Linked DNA regions of Macaca mulatta. The protein of the gene in region 3 purifies or fractionates together with the protein of the main gene of each other region. This does not show direct contact. Links are inferred from orthologs where the notes say so. Each region holds a gene or a part of one and is shown on either strand. Other genes may lie near its edges.

The links.
Region 1: the proteins of PHLPP1 (region 3) and WDR20 purify together in Homo sapiens (affinity purification with mass spectrometry; 4 studies listed by BioGRID and IntAct, with this or other methods). This does not show direct contact. The link is inferred for Macaca mulatta from reciprocal best matches to the Homo sapiens genes PHLPP1 and WDR20.
Region 2: the proteins of PHLPP1 (region 3) and SUGT1 purify together in Homo sapiens (affinity purification with mass spectrometry; 5 studies listed by BioGRID and IntAct, with this or other methods). This does not show direct contact. The link is inferred for Macaca mulatta from reciprocal best matches to the Homo sapiens genes PHLPP1 and SUGT1.
Region 4: the proteins of PHLPP1 (region 3) and WDR48 purify together in Homo sapiens (affinity purification with mass spectrometry; 5 studies listed by BioGRID and IntAct, with this or other methods). This does not show direct contact. The link is inferred for Macaca mulatta from reciprocal best matches to the Homo sapiens genes PHLPP1 and WDR48.
Region 5: the proteins of PHLPP1 (region 3) and USP12 purify together in Homo sapiens (affinity purification with mass spectrometry; 4 studies listed by BioGRID and IntAct, with this or other methods). This does not show direct contact. The link is inferred for Macaca mulatta from reciprocal best matches to the Homo sapiens genes PHLPP1 and USP12.
Region 6: the proteins of PHLPP1 (region 3) and USP46 purify together in Homo sapiens (affinity purification with mass spectrometry; 7 studies listed by BioGRID and IntAct, counting the BioPlex papers as one, with this or other methods). This does not show direct contact. The link is inferred for Macaca mulatta from reciprocal best matches to the Homo sapiens genes PHLPP1 and USP46.
Region 7: the proteins of PHLPP1 (region 3) and AKT1 purify together in Homo sapiens (affinity purification with western blotting, with the first as the bait; 3 studies listed by BioGRID). This does not show direct contact. The link is inferred for Macaca mulatta from reciprocal best matches to the Homo sapiens genes PHLPP1 and AKT1.

What each region holds. Positions count from the first base shown.
Region 1 is NC_133412.1:175,491,952-175,495,894, forward strand, and holds the start of WDR20 (WD repeat-containing protein 20), read left to right. Parts: upstream 1-1,143; 5' UTR 1,144-1,179; coding exon 1,180-1,428; coding exon of another isoform or gene 1,429-1,464; exon of another isoform or gene 1,465-2,744; intron 2,745-3,943. UniProt on the Homo sapiens protein: Regulator of deubiquitinating complexes. Activates deubiquitinating activity of complexes containing USP12. Anchors at the base of the ubiquitin-contacting loop of USP12 and remotely modulates the catalytic center of the enzyme.
Region 2 is NC_133422.1:31,930,778-31,934,277, reverse strand, and holds part of SUGT1 (protein SGT1 homolog), read right to left. Parts: intron 2,880-3,500; coding exon 2,772-2,879; intron 1-2,771. UniProt on the Homo sapiens protein: May play a role in ubiquitination and subsequent proteasomal degradation of target proteins.
Region 3 is NC_133423.1:17,992,867-17,996,366, reverse strand, and holds part of PHLPP1 (PH domain leucine-rich repeat-containing protein phosphatase 1), read left to right. Parts: intron 1-1,750; coding exon 1,751-1,897; intron 1,898-2,518; coding exon 2,519-2,749; intron 2,750-3,500. UniProt on the Homo sapiens protein: Protein phosphatase involved in regulation of Akt and PKC signaling.
Region 4 is NC_133407.1:101,351,243-101,355,451, forward strand, and holds the start of WDR48 (WD repeat-containing protein 48), read left to right. Parts: upstream 1-1,409; 5' UTR 1,410-1,427; coding exon 1,428-1,475; intron 1,476-4,209. UniProt on the Homo sapiens protein: Regulator of deubiquitinating complexes, which acts as a strong activator of USP1, USP12 and USP46. Enhances the USP1-mediated deubiquitination of FANCD2; USP1 being almost inactive by itself.
Region 5 is NC_133422.1:7,160,896-7,164,395, reverse strand, and holds part of USP12 (ubiquitin carboxyl-terminal hydrolase 12), read left to right. Parts: intron 1-1,590; coding exon 1,591-1,788; intron 1,789-3,500. UniProt on the Homo sapiens protein: Deubiquitinating enzyme that plays various roles in the regulation of the immune response and inflammation.
Region 6 is NC_133410.1:80,909,083-80,912,582, forward strand, and holds part of USP46 (ubiquitin carboxyl-terminal hydrolase 46), read left to right. Parts: intron 1-1,560; coding exon 1,561-1,758; intron 1,759-2,991; exon of another isoform or gene 2,992-3,089; intron 3,090-3,500. UniProt on the Homo sapiens protein: Deubiquitinating enzyme that plays a role in behavior, possibly by regulating GABA action. May act by mediating the deubiquitination of GAD1/GAD67.
Region 7 is NC_133412.1:178,211,574-178,215,073, forward strand, and holds part of AKT1 (RAC-alpha serine/threonine-protein kinase), read right to left. Parts: intron 2,846-3,500; coding exon 2,777-2,845; intron 2,423-2,776; coding exon 2,297-2,422; intron 2,219-2,296; coding exon 2,090-2,218; intron 1,940-2,089; coding exon 1,725-1,939; intron 1,299-1,724; coding exon 1,211-1,298; intron 1-1,210. UniProt on the Homo sapiens protein: AKT1 is one of 3 closely related serine/threonine-protein kinases (AKT1, AKT2 and AKT3) called the AKT kinase, and which regulate many processes including metabolism, proliferation, cell survival, growth and angiogenesis.

The DNA.
Region 1 (3,943 bases), on a different chromosome or scaffold from region 3:
CCTCCCTGGAATTCTATTAGAATGTTTCTGTCACTTTAGAAACTTTCCTATTCTGGTGCAACATGCCAAGAAACCCAGGTATAAAATAGTGATTGTTTAATCTTACTTTGACACGTGTGCCCGTTCTTACAAATCTAGACCCTGTACATTACATGCATACAACTATCCCTATGGATCTCCTAGTAAATAATCTCACTGACTCCACCTGAGGCTTCTGGAAAAAAAAAACCAATTACCTTAAATTTTATTAAGAGCTCTTCGTAAACTACTGAGCAAGAGAAGTGAATCCTGCATAGATTCAGTCCCCGGTTCCCAGAGCGCTTCCCCGCCGCGTGTCTCTGAACAGTTGGAAAGGACAAACCTCCGCTAAGAAGCGGAGGCCGCCAGTGCTCACCACACATAGGAATTAGGATATTCATGCTGTACCACATTCTTCTCTACCCCTACCCGGCCTGAAATAAAACATAGTGAAGCGTAAATCTTGAGTACTTCGGTACCTTCTCAGAAACGGCGGCGAGGAGGCTTCCAAGGGGCTTGCTTCCTGACCGGGGATCAAGACGGTCGCGCGGGTAGTCAGCACTCTCTCTGGGCGGGACAGTCCCCGTCCCGAAGGGAGGGCCCAGGAGGGGTGGAGCCGTCCCCGCCCGAACACAGGGGCATCCGCGCTCCCTGTAGGGTACCCCGCGTGCTGGCCCCGAAGCGGTGGCAGTCGGGGTGGCGCTCTTCCTCCGCTCTTTGGGGTCCCGGCGCCCCTCAGGGCAGGGGGGGAGACCGCTGAGGAAGCACCCTCAAGTTCACCTCAGGCTCCTGACACCAGCCCCGCCGCGGTTCCCCATGATCGGCTTTCCGTTGGTCCTAGTGGCTGCGGAACCGTCAACTAGACCCCACCGGCTGGAACCAACATCACCTGGGAAGCAGCCGGGCCGCCCGGAGGCCACGCCCGGGGGAGGAGCCTGCGGACGCCCAGCCGGGTGGAGCACGCCAGGTGAGCACGCCTGCGCAGTCGGGCCGTAAACAAGCCCGCCCCTTCCCTTCGGCCCGCCTTCGCGGGGCTGGCCCGCGGGTGGGAGGGGCGACAAGGAAAAGGCAAGGGGTGGGGGAAGAGGGAGCACCGGGAACAGCGCCTGCGCGGTGGGCGTGATCCGGGCACTTAGGGCAGGATGAACGCTGCTTTCCAAGATGGCGACGGAGGGAGGAGGGAAGGAGATGAACGAGATTAAGACCCAATTCACCACCCGGGAAGGTCTGTACAAGCTGCTGCCACACTCGGAGTACAGCCGGCCCAACCGGGTGCCCTTCAACTCGCAGGGATCCAACCCTGTCCGCGTCTCCTTCGTAAACCTCAACGACCAGTCTGGCAACGGCGACCGCCTCTGCTTCAATGTGGGCCGGGAGCTCTACTTCTATATCTACAAGGGGGTCCGCAAGGTACCGACCCGGGCGTCACCGGGGTCAGCCAGCGGCGTAGGCAGAGGCGGGAGCAGGGCGGTGACAGTGGGGCCAGGGTGACCGAGGGGGTGGCCGTCGCTCTTACTTTTGAGTGGGCCGGTAACTCCCTCCACTGGGGTACTCCTGAGGAGAGGGGATTCAGGAGTAAGGAGGGTGGTGGCGGTGGCATTTCGAAGGGGTGGGGGCTGTGGAAAGGAACCGTGGGACGCGGGGTTCTGGCTGGGAGGCTCCCAGGGGAGCCGGCTGCGTCCCCTCCAGCCTGGTCCATCAGGCTCTGACATGGCCAGGGAGCGGGCCTGCGAGTCCCCGGAAGAGATGGGGTGGCCGTCTTGTCTGCTTCGATTGCCTCGCCTCCCTGGAGGGTTGGAAGTCTCGCCCTGGGTTAGAGAACAGGGGCGCAAGACGGCTTAACAAGATCTCTGTAAGGCGGAACTGGGGCCGGGAAGCCGGAGACTGAGACTAGGTCAGAAAGAACCTGCTCGGCACGCAGGGCTACTCCACCTGCTGCCGCACTGACACTTCCTAGGAGCCTCTCCTGGTGTTAACATTTCTATTTCCAAAAACATCCGCGGGAGGTCGGCTGTCAGTGTCCGCCGAGGGGACGTTCTGAAAGACTGTTAAGGAGAGTCATCTTGTCCCTTGTAGTATGCGAAGGGCTGAGTACTACAGTTGAAATGATGTTTGCAATGAACTAAGCTGGTTCAGAGGGGTTGTGTGTGAGAGTGCCCAGATTAGTCTTGTCCAACAAGTCAGACTGTGTCCCAAACGGGGAGGGATAATGCCTTAAAGGCTACTTTAAAGGGACCATCCTTCTTGGCGGGCGAGTTACCAGTAATGCTCTGAAGCATATAAGCATCCTTTAAAAGTATCTCTTTAAAAGCAGCCATTTATTAGAGCTTTTCTTTCATTGGCTATGTAACTGTGTTTTCACTGAGAATTGCTTAGTTTTGAGATTGTAGTCTTTGACTTGATGTTATGGAAGAGTGAGGAAATAAATGCATCCCACAGCACCTCCAAATAGGACAAGGTGATAAAAGATTAATTCGCAAATGCATGTTAGCATGAAAATAAATTGTTCATATTGAAGAGTGAACATTCCCTAGGATTTCATATAGCCAGATCCAGTGCAGGATTTTCGCTTGTTACAAGAGCTAGGGAAATGACAGTGGTATCTAAATGTAGCAAAGTTGTTTCTTTCATTCACGGTGAATCTTTTTTATTAGTGTTTATGATAATAAGTGTACCACTGTATTTAGAGTATACTATTAGAAGTTATTGAGGGTAAATCGCTTGACCTTTTTTTTTTTTTTTTTTTTTTTTTCTCCCTCTTTTGGAATTGCAAACGCTTGAAGTAGTCTTCAGTCTAGGGGCTGAAGTTTTACTCCTACTCCCAACTTTGTCACTGACTTGTTGGGTGACCTTGGATAAGTTATTTAACTTCTATTTGCACCTCTTTAAAAAGGGAATGTTACAGTGCACGTTGTAACTAATAATATAATAATCGTAATGAATTTTAAGGCTCTGAAACACTCAGTAGATGTAAAATATAGTTAAAGAAATACTAAGTAACTGTCAAATAAGAAGCTGCCGTCTTGACGTTGATGTTCAGAGTGAAAGGATTGATTTTGTTTCTGGAAATTAAGTTTAGAATTTTAAGTTTTAAAAATTTATATAAAAATACAATGTGCTTAAAAACTAAATTCACTAACTAGCAATTATTAATGCAGGAATTACTTTAAAATTTTTTTTTCTTTGAAGGTTATTACTTCTGAAGCATCCTAATGGCAAACCTTATCTGGATCTGGTAGCCCTGGTTTACATCATAAAGACAAGTTTCTTGCCTGAAAGGATCCTTACAATAGTGTTCTCTTTTAGTGGGACGCTATTCTCTGAAGGGTAAAAGGAGGCAAGGCTTTTAAAACTACACCAAAAAATTATTTTAAACAAGATAAATCTGAAATACGTAAATTGCCCTTACCTGCATAATTTGAGTGTTTTAACGTTTTTTTGGGTCAAATTTCATTTTCATGTGGTAGTATCATAGATACATTTGCATTATGTTGCAGATGTTTCTGCTCTCTTTTAATTGTAACTTAAAATTTTTTTTCCATTAATGAGTTTGCATTTATTGTTACTTCTGAGTGTAAGTGATTTTTTGTGGCTATTTTCTGATTTAAAATATAGGAAATAAATTTTCCTTAATTGGAAAACCAAGATTTACTCTTTAGAGTTAGTAGTTATAAACCTATTTTTGACCGATGGCCATTAAACATGTTTTTATTTTTGTTTTTAGAGACAGGATCTCATTCTGTTGCCTAGGCTGGAGTGCGGTGGCATGCTTATAGTTCACTACAGCCTCAAACTCCTGGGCTCAGATGATCTTCTCACTTCAGCCTTCCTAGTGGCTGGAACTACAGGTGTGCACCACCATGCCTGGCTAATTAAAAACAAAAAAATGTTTTTTAGAGATGGAGGTCTTGCCGTGTTGCCCAGG
Region 2 (3,500 bases), on a different chromosome or scaffold from region 3:
TATGTGGTGAGGGCTGCCAAGTTTGACAAATAAAAATATAGCATGAAACATACTTACATAAAATATTCATTGTTTATCTGAAATACAAACTTAAGTGAGCATCTTGTACTTTATCTGGGGATCCTAACTGGGGCACGTACAAAGATACAAATAAAACATGCTTCTTATCCTCAAGGACTTGCATAGAAATGAGGGACATGAAATGTATACATAAACTACTATACAAGAAAGAAAAGCAGTCACTTAGTATTTAAAGAGGAAAGGGGCAGAAGAGGCAAACTGAGAACACAGTAGTATGGTTGAAGAATGGTTAAAATTAACAAATCCAAGACTCAAAAGAGAAAAAAGAGGTAAGAATGCTTAATTATCCTCGACTCTTGCCACACATCTGTGTATTTGCCACACATGATATTCTTCCACCATAGGAGGTGGCTCAGTAATATAAGTTCTTAAGTCATTTATCATTTATTCACACTCGATTTAAATAACTCCAAATGGACATGCATTAACTTTTTTTTTTTTTTTTTTTTGAGACAGAGTCTCTCTCACTGTTGCCCAGGCTGGAGTTCAGTGGCGTGATTTCGGCTCACTTGCATTAGCAATCTCGATAGACATATCAAAAAAAGTCAAATTCATAATTTTCTGAACTATATCCCTCTCAAATCTACCTATTTTGTGCTTGATTACTCAAAATAATTCTTTTATTAAACAAATTCTATACTATGTGGATAGGACCAGTGACAGACCAAAATCCTGGTAAGATTTTGTCCCTTTCCTCAATTTCTACTGTCCCCAGCAGCTATTTCAAAAATCTGCCTCATAATTAACCAGCTTTGTTCTTGACAATCTTCAAATAAATAGGCAGATCCTTTTTAACTAGATGCAAAAACTACTTCACTTTGCACTTCCTTCTCCAACACTCTGCAGCTGTCTCCTTTTTGCAAGCCCAAATATCATTCTTCACGACACAGGCCAGCCCCGATCCTGTTCCACAACAGGAAGCTTCACATGTCCTTAGAGCTTCAACCTAATAAATAGTAGCACAGTATGCTGCAGGACTTGTGTATAAAAAAGTAGTAGGCCAGGTGCAGTGGCTCACATCTGTAATCCCAGCAGTTCGGGAGGCCAAGGTGGGCGGATCACGAGGTCAGGAGATCAAGACTATCCTGGCCAACATAGTGAAATCCCGTCTCTACTAAAAATACAAAAATTAGCTGAGTGTGGCAGTACGTGACTATAATCCCAGCTACTCAGGAGGCTGAGGCAGGAGAATCACTTGAACCCGATTCAAGGAGGCGGAGGTTGCAGTGAGCCGAGATCACACCACTGTACTTCAGCCTGGTGACACAGCTAGACTCCATCTCAAAAAAAAAAAAAAGTAATGGAAAAAGCCTACCTATATCATTTATTCCCATTAACTCATTTATCATATACCTTCACACAATTCTACAGCTGAAAGGACTCCAGAGTTCATTTGGTCCACAGCCCTCCTTCAAAGGTGCTGAAAATTCAGTCTTATAGTCATTTTGTGCCTAGACTAAATTCACAGGGCAAGCAAAGATCCAGAGTCAGATTTTTAAATTTTCAATTCAGTATTTTTCCTACTAAATTACACTACTATCTACATCTTTTGAGTGATACTCTCTGAACATTAATTCTATTGTATATCTCTACTTCTTTTAGAAACTATAAAGGAATCTAAAAACTACTCAAACTATAATTTATTCATTGTTCCCTCATTACAAAGTAACGTAAAATTCATTTTAATTAAAAAAAAAAAAAAAAAAAAAAAAGGACAAGGTCAGGACCTGCAGACCAGCCTGGCCAACATGGTGAAACCCCATCTCCACTAAAAATACAAAAATTTAGCAGGGTGTGGTGGCACATGCCTGTAGTCCCAGCTACTTGGGAGGCTAAAGCAGGAGAACTGCTTGAATCCAGGAGGCAGAGGTTGCAGTGAGCCGAGACAGTGCCACTGCACTTCAGCCTGGGCGACAGAAGAAGACTCTATCTCAAAAAAAAAAAAAAAAGAAGGATTCATCTTTATAGTAGTTTGTATTTTTAACTGCATGAGGTAGGGTGAGAAAAGTATGTGTACATCAAAACAAACAAAACTGACAAGTTCAAGAGAAGAGACACTGTCGGTATCCAATCTTTTTTTTTTTTTTTTTTTTTTTGAGACGGAGTCTCGCTCTGTCACCCAGGCTGGAGTACAGTGGCCGGATCTCAGCTCACTGCAAGCTCTGCCTCCAGGGTTTACACCATTCTCCTGCCTCAGCCTCCCGAGTAGCTGGGACTACAGGCGCCCGCCACCACGCCCGGCTAATTCTTTGTATTTTTAGTAGAGACGGGGTTTCACCGTGTTAGCCCGGATGGTCTTGATCTCCTGACCTCGTGATCCGCCCGTCTCGGCCTCCCAAAGTGCTGGGATTACAGGCTTGAGCCACCGCGCCCGGCCAGTATCCAATCTTAAAAGATAGGCTCATTATTGTATCTTTTAAAAAAATCTCTTTATTGAAAAACATTATATCTGTTTTAATAAGTGCACAAACACCACACAAGCTAAGTGGATTTTTACACTTTACTGTACTAGAATTTGAGAGGTAAAATAACCCTTACACTCAAAAGTTATCATTCTTCTTTTCCCTGTCCCTTGTAAATATAAAGGGCTGAAAGAATCTACAAGCTCATAAACACATCGGTGATCAGTTCACCAGTATTTCTATAATTCTGAAAATATTACTAGCAACAAACCTTTTCAATTGTCTTACCTTTGTTGAAAGTACTTTAAACGTGCTCTGTTCTGGTATTATAGGATGAAGAAGTTCCAGTTTCAAATTGTAATCCTCTCCAGAAGGAAGTTTAACCAAAGCAGACAACTAATGAACACAAAATTACCATCACATTTTGCAAATGTATATAATGGAGGGTAAAAAACCTAGACAAAATAATTATAAATCTTCAATGTTACAAATTATTTTAAACATTACATATGGGATTTTAGATTTAAGAACCTCAAAAGGTTCTGAAAGATTTAAGAACCTTTTTTTTTTTTTCCATCTGTTATCCTTGACATGAATTCTTATATATATCATTAAACAGCAGAAAAGAGTAAGTTTCATAATATTTGTCATATAATCACACCTATTTGACATTTAAATCTCAAGAAAACATACAAAAGCAAAATGATATATAACAAAAAGTAATTCATCTGCAAAACATACAGCTCTATCACTATCTCTTCGAAATTATCTATTAAAAGGTTCTCTACTAAATGCTAAGAAATCAAGTTGTTAAAAGTCATACTCAAGAGGCTGGGCACAGTGATTCATGCCTCTAATCCCAGCACTTTGGGAGGCTGAGGTGGGTGGATCACTTGAGGTTAGGAGTTCAACAACAGCCTGGCCAACACGGCAAAACTCCATTGCTACAAAAATTCGCCAGGCACAGTGTGATGGGCCTGTAGTCCCAACTACTCAGGAGGCTGAGGCAGAAGAATT
Region 3 (3,500 bases):
CTTGAACTCCTGACCTCAAGTGATCTGCCCACCTTGGCCTCCCAAAGTGCTGGGATTACAGGCATGAGCCACTGCACCCGGCTGAGGATAAGCATTCTTTTAAGAAGGACTGATGGCTCTAATATAAAACAGTTTAAGAACGATTATTCAGATTTAGCAATAATTTTTTCCTAAGTGATTTTTTTTTTAAATACTATTCTCTTATACTCAGCCATCCAAGTAAACAGGTATTATTTAAAAATCAAGGTAACACTCAACCTGTCAAATAGGTACATTGTCAACTTTCCCTTTAGAATCAACTTTTATTTAACTATTTAGAATACAGCTTAACATATGCTGATTGGGTTGAATTGCGTTTATTTTTGCAGTGTGTGTGTCTCTTCTAGGCAGAGTGCATACTGTCTAGTATTAGATGTGGGTAATCTAGTTTTTAAAGGAATTAGCATAACGCAGTCACTGATCTGATTCTTATCTCATTTAGAGATGGTGTAGAGGTCGTTGATAGGCCAAATGTAAGAGTGCACAGAGAAGTAAAAAATGAAAGATAGCTTCTTTAATTGCTTAAGTTGCTTGGGCAACTGTGAAAATGAAAGGGCTATTAACAAAAATAGAACAAAAAGAAGTGCCAGTTTGGAATAAAGATGGTAAGTTCAGTTTTGGGCTGGAAATGTGGGGTAGCTCAGGAGAGGAGCCAGCATGTGACAGGACTGAGAGAATTGTTCACATAGGAGTCAAAACATTTCCAAGGAAAACAGTGTAGAGAGAGCATGAAACTGATAAAAAAAAAAAAAACTATCTATGAAGATTACTTCAGTTTGAGTTGGGGAAGAAAAGATGAAGAAAAGGAAGTTAATACAGGAGAAGAAGGCTTAAGAGAGCTAAGAAGAAGGGTGGGTGGTCAGCCGCATCAGTCAATTACTGTACTGAGATCGACGAATGATAATTGGTTCTTTTTTGAGATAGAGTCTCACTGTGTCACCAGGCTATATATTCCAGGAGAGCAGTCTCAGCTCACTGCAACCTCCACCTCCCAGAGATTCTCTTGTGTCTCAGCCTCTCGAGTAGCTGAGATTACAGGCATGCACCACCATGCCCAGCTAATTTTTTGTGTTTTTGGTAGAGACAGGGTTTCACCATGTTGTCTAGGCTGGTCCCGAACTCCTGGTTTCAAGTGATCCACTCATCTCGGCCTCCCAAAGTGCTAGGATTACAGGCCTGAGCCACCATGCCCAGCTGATAATTGGTTGTTAAATTTGGAACTGCAAAGTCCTGGTTACCTTAGAGAGAGTATTGTTTTGATAAGTTTTTATTATTTCACTTTTGGGTTTGAGAAACATGAAACAGAAGTTTTTGACTTGTCTGGAACAGCACAGATTCCAGAAGGACTAACTCCAGCTCTGACTGGTCCCTTTCCTCCTTCACTGGGGCCATTTACACTGTGTTAATTAAGCTAATTGAGATACTGCTAAAAAACTTACTCCAGCAGAATTCACTTCCTGAAATATTCAACCTTATTTTAGAGGGAAAAGTTTGTTTTTAGATAGAATGTTTACATTTTAGGTAGAGCACTGGCCTTAGAGTCAGCAGATGTGCATTCCAGCGCTGCTGCTCCTTAACCTCTCTGGGGCCCCCATTTCCTCTTCAGTTGAATTTGGGAGTTGGGCTAGATTATCTCTTAGGCTATGCTAAAATTATGATGTTAGTGACATTTGTCTCTTTTTTCCCTTTTGGTTTTGCTTTATTTTAATAGGTTCACCAAGTTGAAGAGTCTTAATCTTTCCAATAATCATTTAGGGGACTTCCCACTAGCAGTCTGCAGTATTCCAACCCTGGCAGAGCTGAATGTGTCCTGCAATGCCCTGCGATCGGTCCCAGCAGCCGTTGGAGTGATGCACAAGTGTGTACCTCAAACCCCACTGGCGGGTATATCCAGAGACCCCAGGGAAGCTGCATTGGGGGTGTAGCACATGAGATTAGTTAACTTGTTATGTTGGTCATGTAAGTCTTGGCCCCAAATCAACAGATCAGGGACTGTATAGTCTGTATGGAGTTCATGTGTTAGATTTGTATTCTTTACGATCTTGTAAAAAATTAAATATTCTTGTTTAGAACTGAAGATCCCTGCAAATGAGTATGTCTAAACATGGAATGTGGGTTATGTTCTCATTTTTCTGAGTTATATTGAATTCAAAGACTTAGAAATTAATTTTGAGAAATAATAAGGAAAGCCCAAAGGATATCTGAATCAATTTATATCACAGTTAGCTCATGTTGCTCCCATTTAAGCCTATTCAGATTGGGAAAGCTAGTCATAATTTTCATTTTCAATAAAAGATTAAGATGCTTATCTCTGATTATTTCTCTTTGGTCCGTTATTGCCTCAGGCCCTGCCCTTAGGCATTTTGCAAAGAGTAATACATTTTCTGGTAATACGATCTACACTATGGAACTTGTATGTTGATAATAAAGATGTAAAATTTATACATTCTCTTTGTAATTCTTATGTTTTCTCTAATAGCTTACAGACATTTTTGTTGGATGGAAACTTTCTCCAAACCCTTCCTGCTGAGTTGGAGAACATGAAGCAGCTTAGTTATCTGGGTCTTTCTTTCAATGAATTTACTGACATTCCAGAAGTATTGGAGAAATTGACTGCTGTGGATAAACTTTGTATGTCCGGAAACTGTATGGAGACCCTTAGGCTACAGGCTTTAAGAAAAATGCCTCACATTAAACATGTGGATCTAAGGTAACCATTTTTGAGAAATAGATCTCATTTGAGCTGTTGGCTTATATTGCAGGGGTGGGGAGTAGGTTATTGACCAAGTCAAACAGGCTGGATAATTGAATGTGGACCCATTTTTCTATTTCTGCCTAGAGGGAAGAATTATGATTAATAGTAGGGTTTGCTGTTACTGGAGACTTTCTCACTGATGTATGTCTTGAAGGTCTTTGTTTTGCAAATTGGAACCCAGTTGAGTGAGAGAGCTATTTTTTGGTTTTGTTTTGTATTTTTTGTTGTTGTTGCTGTTTTTAAAGAAATAGGGCCTTGCTCTCTTGCCCCGCCTGGAGTGCAGTGATGTGCTCAGAGCTCTCTTTAGCCTCAAACTCCTGGGCTCAGGTGATCTTCCTGCCTCAGCCTCCCAAATACTCAGGCGTGTTCAGTTTCATCAGTGTAAAGTAGCATCACCTTTTGCTCCCTTTCTTCTCCATTCGTATGGCTCAGCCAAGGAAACCCATACCTTCCAGTCCCACAAAGAATTGCTTGGCTTCACCTTTCCTCAGAATAAAGGAATCAGACCTGTCCTTCCTAGGGAAGTATTAGCAATTTGCAGATATAAAATTCTTAATTTGGAAGTTAAAGTAATTATAATTTATCTGATTTTTGAGAATTTCTTGGAATGTAACAAGATAAGGAACTCTAAACACTTTGTTAACTTGCTTTCCAAATTGTTTACATTATTCGCCTCTGAGTTCCTTCTATTTAGAAAACCCTCATA
Region 4 (4,209 bases), on a different chromosome or scaffold from region 3:
ACTAGAGAGGGCCTGATCACCCTCAGCTCCTATAATTAGTGTCAGTGAAAACCACACTTTCACCCAGAAGGACCTAACTGTTCTAGTATAAGAGATGATTTAAACTAGAACTGGGTTTTCAGTTCAGGGTTTGGAACTGAGTTGTCTCTGGGAACAATTTTAGCTGATGTACCGTTTTCACCTTCCTGTAACATCTTTTTGTCTTTTTTTTTTTTTTTTTTTTTTTTTGAACTTTTAAGTTCAGGGATACAAGTGCAGGTTTGTTATATAGGTGAACTTGTGTCATGGGGGTTTGTTGTACAGACTATTTTGTCACCCAGGTATTTTTTTTTTTTTTTTTTTTTTTTGAGACGTAGTCTCGCTCTGTCCCCCAGGCTGGAGTGCAGTGGCCGGATCTCAGCTCACTGCAAGCTCCACCTCCCAGGTTCACGCCATTCTCCTGCCTCAGCCTCCTGAGTAGCTGGGACTACAGGCGCCCGCCACCGCTCCCCGCTAATTTTTGTATTTTTTTAGTAGAGACGGAGTTTCACGTGTTAGCCAGGATGGTCTCGATCTCCTGACCTCGTGATCCGCCCATCTCGGCCTCCCAAAGTGCTGGGATTACAGGCTTGAGCCACCGCGCCCGGCCTGTCACCCAGGTATTAAGCCTAGTACCCGTTAGTTATTTTTCCTGATCCTCACCCTCCTCCCACCCTCCACCCTCCAAAAGGCCCCAGTGTGTGTTGTCCCCCTCTTTGTGTCCATGTGTTCTCATCATTTGGCTCCTACTTACGAGAACACGCCGTATTTGGTTTCCTGTTCCTTTGTTAGTTTGCTTAAGGAAACGGCCTCCAGTTCCATCATGTCCCTGCAAAGGACATGATCTCGTTCTTTTTCATGGCCCCACTTTTTATCCTTTTAATTTAAATGTATTATTTGCTCTTCCCGAAGATGGAGGCAATCTCCTTTGCAAGGACTTCTATTCTTCCCCCTTTGAGGCCAAGATACAATTCTCCGCATTTTTAGGTACTTAATAGTAAATCACTTGGTTCCCCTGCTTGTCTAGGAAGGGTTAGGAGATCGCCCAGCGCCATGTCTTGCACTGTTAATTCTTTCAGTGCTTTCATTTCGCTTGGACCTCTCGGGGAGGGCCTGGAAAAGAGAGCAAGCCAGGGTCTAGGGCCACACAGAAGTGGATTTGGATTGCTCACTCAGCCCTGAAAAGTGGCTCTCTCCCCATCAGTATTATACTTGCACAATGATTTTGTTTTTAGGTGCATCTACCTCACCACGTGGCTACCGGCCATACAGCAACGAACACCACCTAGGAAACACATATCCTGTCTACCTTCAGACCCGCCACTGATCCTTGGCCAAAGGGAAACGGGCAGAACATCCGCCCGGTCTGAGCCACCTCCGGAAGTGACGTCGGAGTGTCAACATGCAAGATGGCGGCCCATCACCGGCAGAACACAGCAGGGCGGAGGAAAGTGCAGGTATGGAAGCCCGGTTCCTCGGCCTTCCGGACGCGGCTGGCAGCTCCGGGCCCACTCCAGCTAGAAGGTGTCCGGGGCCACGGCCGGCCGGGGTAGCGGCATGGGGCGAACGGGGCGGGGCGCGGCCGGCCTTGAGGGGTGGGGCCGCGGCGCTAACGGCTTGAGGAAGGGGCGGGGGTCGGCCTGCGTGGCCCTTGGGGCCCAGGCCCGGGACCCTCGCGGGCGGCGTTCTGAGCCCGGGATTGCTGGTCGCCGCTTTTCTGTAGGAATGGACTTGCGGGGTCGGGATAGGCTAGTTCCCCGCCCACTTGCCTCCCTCTTCCCCTGCCTTTCTTCGAAGCGCTCTGCCCTCGCTGCGTCTGAGCGGAGGCCTCCAGGGGTTTCCCGGGAGGGTGGGCGTTGGAGGAGTGAGCGGCCTGTGCGGGGGCGTGGCGAGGCGGCGGAGCATCGACGGCCCTGCGGGGTTTCTGCTGAGGATTCCGCACTTGGGAGCCCCCAGCCTTCTCTTATGTTGGAGCTGTCCCCTGGGTAGGTGGAAGTGACATGAGAATGTGCGTGGGGAAATTATAATTTTAATTGGAAATTTAAGTTCGTCTTCACCATTTCTTCACCTTCAGTGTGCATCGCTGAATCTTTCTTTATTGTTTGTATAATTTATTGTCCATGTGGTAAAGAGTTGTCTAATCTTACCGTGTGTGTCTTGTGCCTTGTGCCTTTGTGAATTCACTTTTGTTTGGGGTTACGCTTAAGAGTTATTGCCACTTCGGGGAACATCACACACCGTGGCCTGTCGGGGTCTGGGGGAGGGATAGCATTAGGAGAAATACCTAATGTAAATGAGTTGATGGGTGCAGCAAATCAGCATGGCACATGTATACCTGTGTAGCAAACCTGCACGTTATGCACATATATCCTAGAACTTAAAGTATAATAATAAAAAAAGTTATTGCCATTTAATATTTTCCGTGATGCAGGGAATAAAAGCCCTCTTACAGGTGTTTGCCTGCAGGTGTATTGTATGTGGTAGTGGCAGTTTGGTGCATTTATTCTTTAAACATTTACCTAGCACTTAGAGTGGCCCCCAGAGGGGAAAAGGGATTGAAAGGTTGTAGGAATAATTTACACCTAGGCTTTCTTTATAAAACACAGCATTATATGGAGTTCTGCAGGTTGAAATCAAGTGTCAGATGAAGGTGGTTAGATAAAGGGATCCTTCAGTAAGGTAATCCCAGCAGAAGGTGGTAGGTTATAAAGTCTTCTGAGTAGTTCACATCTTGGTTTTATTGATCTCATTGATCAGCACAGTGTCTTAAGCACTCACTGTATGTTTGTTGAAATGAGTGAAATTAATGAGTCTAAACTCACTCTGTTAGGTGAGTTTTTCAGTGCATTAGTGATAGGATTTCAGTATCACCAGCATCCAAGGCAGGTAGTGAGAATGTCTCCTCTGGATGGAAATATAACTCAAAATTGTAACCTGATTGTATTACAAGTCTATAACACTATATGGTGGTATACTTCTCAGGGGAATAAGGGTAGTTCATCAGGCCTTTCAGTTTATTGCATTAAGACTTAAAAGTCCTATTACTGCAGTGTGTTCCCTGCTTGCTTCCTTCCCAGGCCTACCCACTCCCAAAATGCATGCAATAAAGTATATATATTTTAAAAAGACTTACAAGGCAATTGTACTAGTATGGGATGAAGAAAATGTAAATTAACTGCAGCAGGTTTGGAAAACCAATGTTTTAATAGGCTGAATGTGAGCCAGTGCATGTAGAATGAGACAGGTGATGGATAATGCCACTTTTCACTGGTCAGAATAAAAAATTAGAGTTTGCTCTTCCGCACTTAGGACCGTGTTCTTCATAGGTAGCAGTCAGATTGGTGAACTGACTTGAAATTATTTCCTATGAAGAACTTTTGAAAGAGCTGTCTGAGATTAACCTGCTGAAGAGAAGATTCAGGTAGCTTTCAGAATTTGTCCCCAAGGTATAGAAGCAGCCTGAGAAGCCACAGGATTGATTTCATCTGAACCATCATTGTCTATGAGGTGTTATTTAAACTAATGAGTGTTCATTGTAAAAATCCCAGCAAACAAAAGTATAGATTAGAGTTGCCCTCCATGCTTCCGAGAAAGCTGCTGTGGGCAATGTCATGTTTTAATCCTAGACCAGAGTTTATCAACCTGAGCATTCTTGAAATTTTCGTCTGGATAATTCTTGGCTGTGTCTGAGGGAGGGAGCTGTCTTACGCATCACAGGTTCTTTAGCATCATCCCTGGCTTCTACCAACTAGATGTGGTAGCATCTCCCTGGTTGTGACAACTAAAAATGTCTCCAGACGTTTTCAGATGTCCCCTCGAGGGCAAAACTGCTGCTGGTTGAGAACCACTGTTCTGTACCTCTTCCTGCTTGTGTACCTGACTTAACGTGATTTTTTTTTTTGCTATAAGTGGAGCCATAGTATTCACTGTTTTGTGTCTTGCTTTGTCAAATTTTTAAATAAACACTCCCTTTAGCCCAGAATTCCTTATCTAAAAATATATTCTACAAATTTGCATATGCATATATCTGTCCCTACTTATGCAAGGGTGTTGTGTGAAGCCATTCTTGAATTGCTATAAAGAAATACCTGAGACTGGCTCATTTATAAAGAAAAGAGACATAATTGGCTCACAGTTCTATAGGCTTTACAGGAAGTATGGTGCTGGGATCTGCTCGTCTTCCAGGGAGGC
Region 5 (3,500 bases), on a different chromosome or scaffold from region 3:
GTCTTTTGCATCTACCATCCATTGGAAATTCTCAAAGGATACCTTGATGCTTTGTAAAGATTTCGTTTCAGGAACTCTACATGGGTAATTCATAGTTGAATTAAATTTTATGTATAATTTTACATCCTGACTTCTTAAGTATTTTCCCATGTCACCTGGAAACTTTCATCAGCAGTGTTTTATTTAAGTTGTACAACACTCTGTTATGTTTGAAGTCTAATTTATTTCTACATTTCCTGTTGTTGAATAGTTGGGATTTTTTACAATGTAAAAGAACTCTACAAGTAGATTATTCTCATAAGGGATGTTTTTGAGATTATATATTTAATTTATGTTTCTAGAAATAGGATTAGTGAGACAAAGGCCGTAAAGGCTCCCAATTTATATTGCTGGATTGCTTTCTAGGAGTGACTAGTTGTTTACCTTTACTTTGGCTAATGTTTCCAAAAGGCCAAGTTACTCGAATAGTAAGTAATTTAGGAATAATAAGCTATCCACCATATTTAAGACATGTAGAATGCAGATTTAGTATAATGTTATAAAATGATTTTTCACTTATTAGAGACAGTGGCTTACCATATATCTCACTTGTTTAAATTGTGAGGAGTATTTTGCTTCACCAGACCCATTTAAAATTCAGTTCTGCAACATTTGGCATCTATCCTATGTCAGGCATGTTGCTAGATAGTGGGGAAATAAAAATGAAGGGAATGCTTTCTAGCTGCCACGAGTTCAGGGCCTAGAAGAAAAGAACCGTAATCACCTAAAATTGTTACCATGTAATAAGCTTGACATATATAAAGTGAACCTGTAAAGCGCTGATGGAGGATTGAAGAGAGCAGGTATTTGTGCCAGAGGGTGTGACATTTGAGCTGAGCCATTAAAAGAATAGATTTTTAGGTGAAGTAGGAGTACAAAGGCACTCTCAGGGAGAAATGGCATTTAAAGGCATAATAAAGATTATTTAGAACATGAAGAACAGCCTGTGTTTCACAATTAAAAACTTAACTCCTAAGTTTCCAGGTTATTTTATTCCCTTTCTAGGATATACATAGTCATTTTTCTTAATATGGAATTATTTCTTGTCTCTGACAAGCACCTTGAATGGTCTGTAGCGCTTTTGTTGTTTTAGTCTCCTATTGTCAGTCTGTACCTGCATCATATAGATTGATAGAAAAACTAGATTTCAGTCTACCCAAGTCCAAAGGAATTGTCAGTTTCAAGAAACTTGTTTTCCCTCTACCACTCTTGAGCACCCTGTGCATTTAGCCTTATTATAAGAGATGTGTGTGTGAAAAATACAGATTCCTTAACCAAGGACTAATGCCATTCCATCTGTTTCGGAGCCATGTTGAGTGCTATGTCAAATTATGTGGTGTGGCGATGATCGGTAGGGTGGGATCGTCCTAAGATGTTCAGAACATTGTTTTGTCATTATAAAAATAATTGGTAGAAATGTGCGAAACTGGGCAGTGCTGGGCTATTAAAACTGACCATTGACTATCTGTTCGTTGGATATCATAGTTTGATAATTCAAGGACATGGTGGATATCTTTTGTGAAATTTTGTTTTCATTTTTATTTTTAATAGGATGAAAGTTAAAAAACTGCCCATGATTCTAGCTCTACACCTGAAGAGATTTAAATATATGGATCAACTTCATCGATATACAAAACTCTCTTACCGGGTAGTTTTCCCTTTAGAACTTCGTCTATTTAACACTTCAGGTGATGCCACCAATCCAGACAGAATGTACGACCTGGTTGCTGTTGTGGTTCACTGTGGAAGGTAATTGCAACTCCGGGGACATAGTAGTGGAATTTCTAGGTTAGAAGAGCAGTGTATATTCAAGATGTTCATGAATTATTCAAATGCAGAACTTTTAGAAATTCTGTATTCTTCTCAAGATAATTTTATTTCAAAATGGAGTTTTAGCTTTACATTTTATCATTCCTTAAAAATTTTATATGTTAAAATATATTGTTTTTATTTTTATTATTTATTACTCTGCAAGTACTATATCTGATTTCCTAGAACTTTGAGATCTGTTAGTTTTCCTTTTTTGGGGTGTGTGTATAGAGGGTTGTTGGTTAAAATAAATCACTTCTGAGTTTAATTGCATATGTTCAGCATATCAGTGGTTGTAAAAAGCATTTAAAATGGCATTGGAAGTAATCTTCAAAGATTCATTTTTTGATTTTACCTGGGTGTGTATTTATCATTTCCTATTAGCTAATTTTGCTTTCTGTCTCCTTCTCATCTTCTTTTCCAACGTGGTATACACATCTTCTCTGTATGAACATACATACCTGTAACTGACCTTATTAAATACATCAAAAAATTCTCAAACTGCAAGAGCATCACATAATCAGAACTTGTATTTGGAACATAACCGTCTTCATTGACTGCTTAGAATTTCCTTTAATAATTTTAAAGCAGGCACTCATCATTTTCCCCTTGGTTTTGGGAAACTTGTACTAACAGCATGTTTTATCCAAATAAAAAAAGTTCCAGCTTTCTCCACTTCAGCCCTCCTCCCAGCTCTCTGATTAGAATTTTTTTTTTTTTTTTTGGAGACAGAGTCTCGCTCTGTCGCCCAGGCTGGAGTGCAGTGGTGCCATCTCGGCTCACTGCAAGCTCCGCCTTCCGCATTCAAGCCATTCTCCTGCTTCAGCCTCCCAAGTAGCTGGGACTACAGGCGCCCACCACCATGCCCGGGTAATTTTTTGTATTTTTAGTAGAGAGTTTCACCGTGTTAGCCAGGATGGTCTGAATCTCCTGACCTGGTGATCCGCCTGCCTCAGCCTCCCAAAGTGCTGGGATTACAGACGTGAGCCACCATGCCCAGCCTCTGATCAGAATTTTTAAGGACAACCCGGAGGGAGCAAATACTCTGTAATAATCGTCTTGTACCTCCATTGCCTGGGTCAGCCTTGGGTCCCGTCTTTTATCCTCAGCAAGAATCTTTCTTCTACTTCTAAATTAAGAGTGATCACATCTTAAAGGAGTGAAGCAGTGTCAAGATTACTTAAAGAACCTTGGTGTAGTGATTCAGACCAGGTATTCAAAGTGAGAGAAGCCTGGATCTCAGTACCATTTCTGCCAGTTGTGGGCAGTGTGATGTTATGCAGAGTTTCCTGAAAAGGCTTCAGTTTTCTCTTCTAGAAAATGTAAATAATACTAATTACCTCATTGCTTTGTTGGGATTCAAAAGGAGATGTAAATCAGCTACTGCTACTGTCTTAGTAACAAAAATATAATACTGCCTTCTCACATCCCAGCTCTATAATATTTACTTTCTCACACCCTAATTAGACTGTTCTTTAGCCTCTTCAAATTTAGTAACAGTCCTACTCTACTTAAATTATGTTAGATTTTTAGAATTATGCTCTACTCACAAGACATTGAGTTGAGATGCCTGACTTAGATGGCAACCAGGGTCCCGTCCCCACTCTCTCCTTTTAAAATTAACCCAACCCTTTCCCCACCCTGAAATCCTT
Region 6 (3,500 bases), on a different chromosome or scaffold from region 3:
GCAAAGGCTTCCGTGAGTTAAATCTATCGTCAGTGGTCTGGAGTATTCAAGGCAGCTGGCAGATGCTCAGTACTGCTGTCTAAAACCCTCAGGGGTTTAGACCTGAGGTTGAGATCATTTCTCTGCCCAGCCTTCCCAGGCGTTCACTCCAAACATGTACACTTTTCTTTGCTGCAAAACTTACAGATGGTTAGTCACTGTAGCAGGCAGGCCTCAAGGAGGTAGGTAGATATCTTTTGTTAGTAAAGAAGGTCACTCACGTCTGCCCCCCATCCTTATAACCGCAGTCTGCCTAAGACTGGCCTTGGGTCTTCCTTTGTGGCATTAAGATGTTTTTCGTTCAGCCCTGGGGAGTTTATACATTACAATGTCATGTGTTCCTGTAAAATATGGGGTTCCCCATAATTCTTATTTCTCTAGTGTTGTTTTACTTGCTTATTTGTATGAACAGGGCTTTTCCTTAATAGATTCCTTAAAACTATTCTTTTAAAATTTGTCCTTTTCACATACTATGCATTAAAAATGTATGCAAACTAAACGGCATTTACACTTAATTCAGTACATTCATGGAATGGGGGCCTGGAAGATAACTGGAAGACCCGTTATTCTAGCAGTATACTCTGCATAAACTGTTATCTTTGTGACTTTTTACTGAGGAATGATCAGTTACTAGGTGACTTTTTACTTTTTTTTTGTGACTTTTTACTGAGGAATGATCAGTTACTAGGTGAACGATCACCTAGTAAAAAACCTTTCTATGTTTATATAAGTTTGGGAAGTCCAACATCAAACAACAGAACAATTCCTTTACTGCAGGATTTCTCAAAATCTTCAGTGTGGTAATGTACACTTAGGATCTTCAAAGCAGAAAGTAGCATCGTCCAAACTTAGCCACAGAAACATCACATCTGTTAACATCTCCAGTGCTCTCATGCACCCAGTTTGCAAAATGTAGCCCTAAACCAACCCCTGCATTTTATAAATGAGGAAACTGAGAGCTAGAGAAGGGAAGTGACTTGCCCAAGATCACAAGGGTCGGAATGAGAGTGAGCCTGGCACGCTTGGTGTCCCAGTGCCCAAGAGTGTGTGTCAGAAGCATCCATCTCCTGCCAGTCCTCGGAACCTGTAAGTCCAGCAGTCGGCACCGTCTACCTTGTCCTCCTCCCATCTTCCTGTTCTCAAAAGCTCTCAACCCACCTCTCCATCATCTGAGGGGGTAGACTGTCCAAGTATCATTTCTCTCTGGAAGGCACAGGGCAGTGGTGGAGAACAATTGCACAACCTATTTTTATTTGTACAAAAATTCTGAAACATCTCCTTTCAACAAATAGACACACACCGTTGTACATTTCTCCTGCTGGGATGCTTCTGGGAGCCAGGAATGTAGGTTAAATCAGCTCTATATAAGCCAACATACTTTTATCCTTGCAAACTGTTTGGTTGTTTGCTGGTTTGAAGTTGGATAGAACTTCCTCGTATTCTGTTTGGGCAGGTGACAGTGTATTCTCTTCCCCTAACAGGTGTTGGGTACAACTGATTTTCTATTTCATGGTTTCTTAGGATGAGGGTAAAAAAGCTGCCCATGATCTTGGCCCTGCACCTAAAGCGGTTCAAGTACATGGAGCAGCTGCACAGATACACCAAGCTGTCTTACCGTGTGGTCTTCCCTCTGGAACTCCGGCTCTTCAACACCTCTAGTGATGCGGTGAACTTGGACCGCATGTATGACCTGGTTGCTGTGGTCGTTCACTGTGGCAGGTAAGGGCAAGACTGGAAGCAGACATACAGGGTAAGTGTAAGGGTTGCCCCTTCGCTGAAGTATATCCAGCTGCACCTTTCCTGGGCCGTGGCACTCAGTACTTTTGGGATATCTTCCAAACTCTTACTGATCATCACAAAAAATATGTAAACATGCCTGCAGACACATAAAATAAAGAGCATTCCAATAATGAAAATCTAAGTGTTCTATCATGAGAGAAATCACTTAATAAATCTCCTTTGCATGGAAATGATGGTTATGAGGAATTTGAAATAACATGGAGAAATGTCTATGCTATTATTTTAATTTTTAAAAAGCCAAGTTGCATTTATAGTATGATCTCAAAAGTATTTTAAGATGTGTAAATAAAGACTGGAAGCAGTGGATCAAGTTTAGTATTTTTTTGGCACTTTGAGTGATTAAAAATATATTCTCAAAAATATTCTTTGTTATTTTTATTCTTTCCCCAACATTCTGTAATAAGTATATAATCAGAAAAAAAGATAAGAGAGAGAAGGCCTCTAGATATGGAAAGGCAAAGCATTTTGCCGAAATCCTTTGAGCAGATTTTTTTTTTTTTTTTTTTTTTTTTTGAGACAGAGTCTCGCTCTGTCCCCCAGGCTGGAGTGCAGTGGCACGATCTCGGCTCACTGCAAGCTCCGTCTCCTGGGTTCAGGCCATTCTCCTGCCTCAGCCTCCCGAGTAGCTGGGACTACAGGCGCCTGCCACCGCGCTGGCTAATTTTTTGTATTTTTAGTAGAGACGGGGTTTCACCGTGGTCTCGATCTCCTGACCTTGTGATCCGCCCGCCTCGGCCTCCCAAAGTGTGAGCAGATATTTTTTATTCCATAATTTGGTATAAGGGAAGAAAAATATATTGAAAATTTACCTGTTTGTTATTCTTTGCTCAGCTGGGACAGGTGTATGTTCTGTCTTGGGAGTAGGCACAGCTTTCCCCCGCCCTCGTAGGTTTTAGATTGGGGCGTGTCACAGAGTAAGAGTCTTTCTCCGCCATCTGCTAAAATCGGATTATGGTGAACACACCATTACCAGGAGACTACCATTGCCATGCACAGGAATAGACTGATACATTTTTAATTGTGTACTAGGGTAGATGGCATCAGAAACTGTAACTTTACATGTGAAGCACCCCATATTTTATCCTGCACGTATTAACTTTAAGTCACTGGATGTTTTCTTGTATTCTCAGTAAAATGGTATTTATTTGCTAGTTATATGCCAGTTTTGTGGTGTTCTCCCTGAAGAAGAGCTGTTATTCTTTTGAAGAACACAGTGTTTCAGTGACCTGGAACCTAGCCTTGAGCACTGGGTGAGGCCTCACATTGGTGCAGGGTTCAGGAAGGTCTTAAGGCAGGCAGAGCCTGGGACCTGGTGGGCATTGTGGCTAAAGTGGGTGGCAGGGGTGGTGTGAACAGGAGGGCCCCTTGCACAGGGTACACAGGACTTTCAGTGTGGGTCTCTGTGGGTGCCCAATTCAAATCCTTGGGAGGACTGGCAGAGACCCAGGTGAGGGAACTGGACGTCCAGCGGGAGGCTGGGTTCTCTAAGGTCAGTTTCTGTACTGTGAGCACAAGGTCAGAAGAGCCCTGGTAGCAGAAATCAGTTGGTGCCAAGTCATGCATGCCACTAACTAGGATTCTTCAAACTCCTCCCCACAGAAGTAGCATTGTTCTCCTGTGTGGAGCAGGGTTGGCCTATGCATGTGGATTGGGTGGCTTCC
Region 7 (3,500 bases), on a different chromosome or scaffold from region 3:
CAGCCCAGCAGGCGACAGGAGGTAGTGCGGCCCAGCTCTGAGACCGTCCCTGCTACCAGTAGGTGATGACTTTATTTTTGCTTTTTCTTTCTTGTTTTCTTATTTTTATTAGTCTTCTTGTAAATTGGGAAAGAGGGAGACTGTGGAACAGGGTGCACAGGATGAGCGCACCCTGCCTCCATGGCTCAGGGACTACAGGATCGCAGCCTCCTGGCATCTGGCTGCAGAGAGGACTCTCGATGACCCAGGATCAAGGGTGACTATAAGGCGATGTGCACATGTGAGGAGCTGCCAGAGAGCCCCTCAGGTCCCACAGTCAAGGATTCCCTCAAGCACTGCCCCACCCAAGTCTGGCCTGGGCACCAGCACTGTCCATTGTCAATTAGCAAGGTCTCTGGTCAAGGCTGGGCAGAGGCTGAGCACTGCCCAGGCCCCCCATACCCTTGAAGGGCAGGGCAGGGCTGGAGGGTGGCAGGCCTCAGGGCAGGAACTGGGACCAGGGCCAGGGCACCCTGTGTTAATGGGAGGACAGGTGCCCAGCTGGGTCCCAGGGCTGCCCAGCCTGACCAGCTGCACATGGCCTGGGACAGGCATTCAGGGGAGGGGCAGGCTGGGAACTGGGCAGAAGCACACCTGGTGACAGGGCACCCAGCACCTCAGAGTGCAGGATTCTGAACCTAGCCAGCAGACCCCATCAGCCAGGGTGACGGCCAGGGCTCCTGAAAGATGAGCACCCAGGATGGCGACTCATGTAGACAGAGCTGCCTCCCTCCAGGGCGGACTCCCCCATGTGCCAGGAAAGTAGGTGCTGTCCCGTCCCTGCACAGCCAGAAAGTAGGGCTGGGCTCTCCTTGCAGCATAAAGGATTGAGATCAGACAACAGGAGGAACTGGTAGAGAGCAAGGAGCAGCACCCCTGGTCCACCGCCAGCCAGCCTTCACTGCACAGCATCAGGGAAGGGACCCCCAAGGCTGGCACTCAGAGTGTGACACATCTCTGAGGGGAGGAGGAAATGAGGAGGACCAGGCCAGTTTCCTGGAGGAAGCCAGCAGTGCCAGAGCTTCTGAGCAGCAGGCACTGAGGTTGCTGCAGCAAGGCCCTCCTTGTACCAGGACTGCAGCAGGCTCCCGAGGTGAGGGCAGGTGTGTGGGAAATCCGGCGAGCGTGCCACGTGCATGCGTGAGTGTGGATATGCGGGAAGCAGCCGCACCTTCTTCTCATACACGTGCTGCCACACGATGCCGGCAAAGAAGCGATGCTGCATGATCTCCTTGGCGTCCTCAGAGCCCCCGCCAAGCCTGCGGGTAGCAAACAAGGCCACGGTGTCGGTACTGCCACCCGCCCAGGCCCCAGGCTCAGACCCCTTCCTCCTGTGATGTAGGGCCCGCCGGACAGGACGTTCTGGGGCCAGGGAGGGCAACCGGTGGTGCAGCATCCCTGAGCAGCTGTGGGGAGCAAAGCACCCCAGGGCTCACGGCAGGCAGGGGCTTCCTGAGTTGGGGGTGTGGGGGCTGCAGGGTTGGGGATGGAGGCCCAACTGACCCTGCCCTACCCAGCCACTCTGCCTGTGCCTGAGGCTTTGGGGATCAGCCCTGGCCAAGGACATCAAGCTCTGGCTGTCAGTGTAGTCTGGGAGGTGCCAGGACCGCCTGGCACAGGGGCAGGTGCAGCCTGGGGGTGAGGGGATGGAGGTGGAGCCTGCAGCCGGGATGGGTGGCCCTCACCTCTGCTTGGGGTCCTTCTTGAGCAGCCCTGAGAGCAAGGACTTGGCCTCAGGACCAAGCGTGCGCGGGAAGCGGATCTCCTCCATGAGGATGAGCTCAAAAAGCTTCTCGTGGTCCTGGTTGTAGAAGGGCAGGCGGCCGCACATCATCTCATACATGACCACGCCCAGCCCCCACCAGTCCACCGCACGGCCGTAGTCATTGTCCTCCAGCACCTGCACGGGCGGCAGATGGGCAGGACTCGGCATCAGGGGGTGTCCGGGGGAGGTGTCGTGACGTGCTTGGGGCACAGAGAGGACACAGCTTTGCGTGTGCTCGGGACGTGGGGACACAGCGACGCGTATGCACACAGGTGGGGCGCACACCTCGGGGGCCAGGTACTCAGGTGTGCCGCAGAAGGTCTTCATGGTGGCGCCGTCCTTGATCCCCTCCTTGCACAGCCCGAAGTCTGTGATCTTAATGTGCCCGTCCTTGTCCAGCATGAGGTTCTCCAGCTAGGGGAAAGGTGGCCTCAGGTCAGTGCCGCCAGGCTCCCAGGGCCCTGCCCCCACCCCGAGTGCCCGCCGGCGCACCTTGAGGTCCCGGTACACCACATTCTTCTCCGAGTGCAGGTAGTCCAGGGCTGACACGATCTCGGCGCCATAGAAGCGGGCCCGGTCCTCAGAGAACACACGCTCCCGGGACAGGTGGAAGAAGAGCTGTGGGAAGCACGACCTGAGGCACAGCCGTGGCCGGGGCCTCTGCCCCCACGGCCTGCAGGGTTGGGGTTTCTCAGGCAGGGGCTCAGGGCATTGGGCACAGGGAAGGGACCAGCCCCCAGAGGGCACGGGGGCCTGGAAAGTCTCAGAAGCCCTAACTCAGCAGGAACAAGTCACCCCACAGCAGGCAGCTGCCTGGGCAGGCGTCATACCACCCACCCAGCAGGGAGCACCGTCTGGTGCTGTGGAGAGTAGCCGAGGTTCCGGGAAGGACCAGCCCCACTATGGGTGGCCCAGCTGCCAGGGCTGGGTCCACAGGCCGTGAGGCCCATCCCCCGCAGCCCCAGCCCCTACCTCGCCCCCATTGGCGTACTCCATGACGAAGCAGAGGCGGTCGTGGGTCTGGAAGGAGTACTTCAGGGCCTGCAAGGAAGCGGAGCTGGAACTGCAGCCCCACGGGCAGGACAGCAGCCCCACACCACGCTGCCCGATACCATGCTGCTTGATACCATGCCACCCGTAGCCCCACACCATGCTGCCCGACACCACGCTGCCTGATACCATGCTGCTTGATACCATGCCACCCGATACCATGCCACCCGTAGCCCCACGCCACGCTGCCTCACACCACATTGCCCGATACCACGCTGCCCCACACCACGCTGCCCCGCACCACACCCCCACATCACACTGCCTCACACCACATTGTCCCACACCACACACCCCCACATCACACTGTCTCACACCACATTGTCCCACACCACACACCCCCACATCACACTGTCTCACACCACATTGTCCCACACCACACACCCCCACATCACACTGCCTCACACCACATTGTCCCACACCACACACCCCCACATCACACTGTCTCACACCACATTGTCCCACACCACACACCCCCACATCACACTGCCTCATGCCACACCCCCACACCACGCCATCAGGCTGGGCCCTGGCAGCCCCTGAGGCGCCAAGGAGTGTTTGAAAGGTGAGCAAAGTGGCCTGGGCTCAGGTCTCCAGGGCGGGTTGGGACCTCAACAGGGGGCAGTGCTCCCAGCACCAGAGCCCTGGC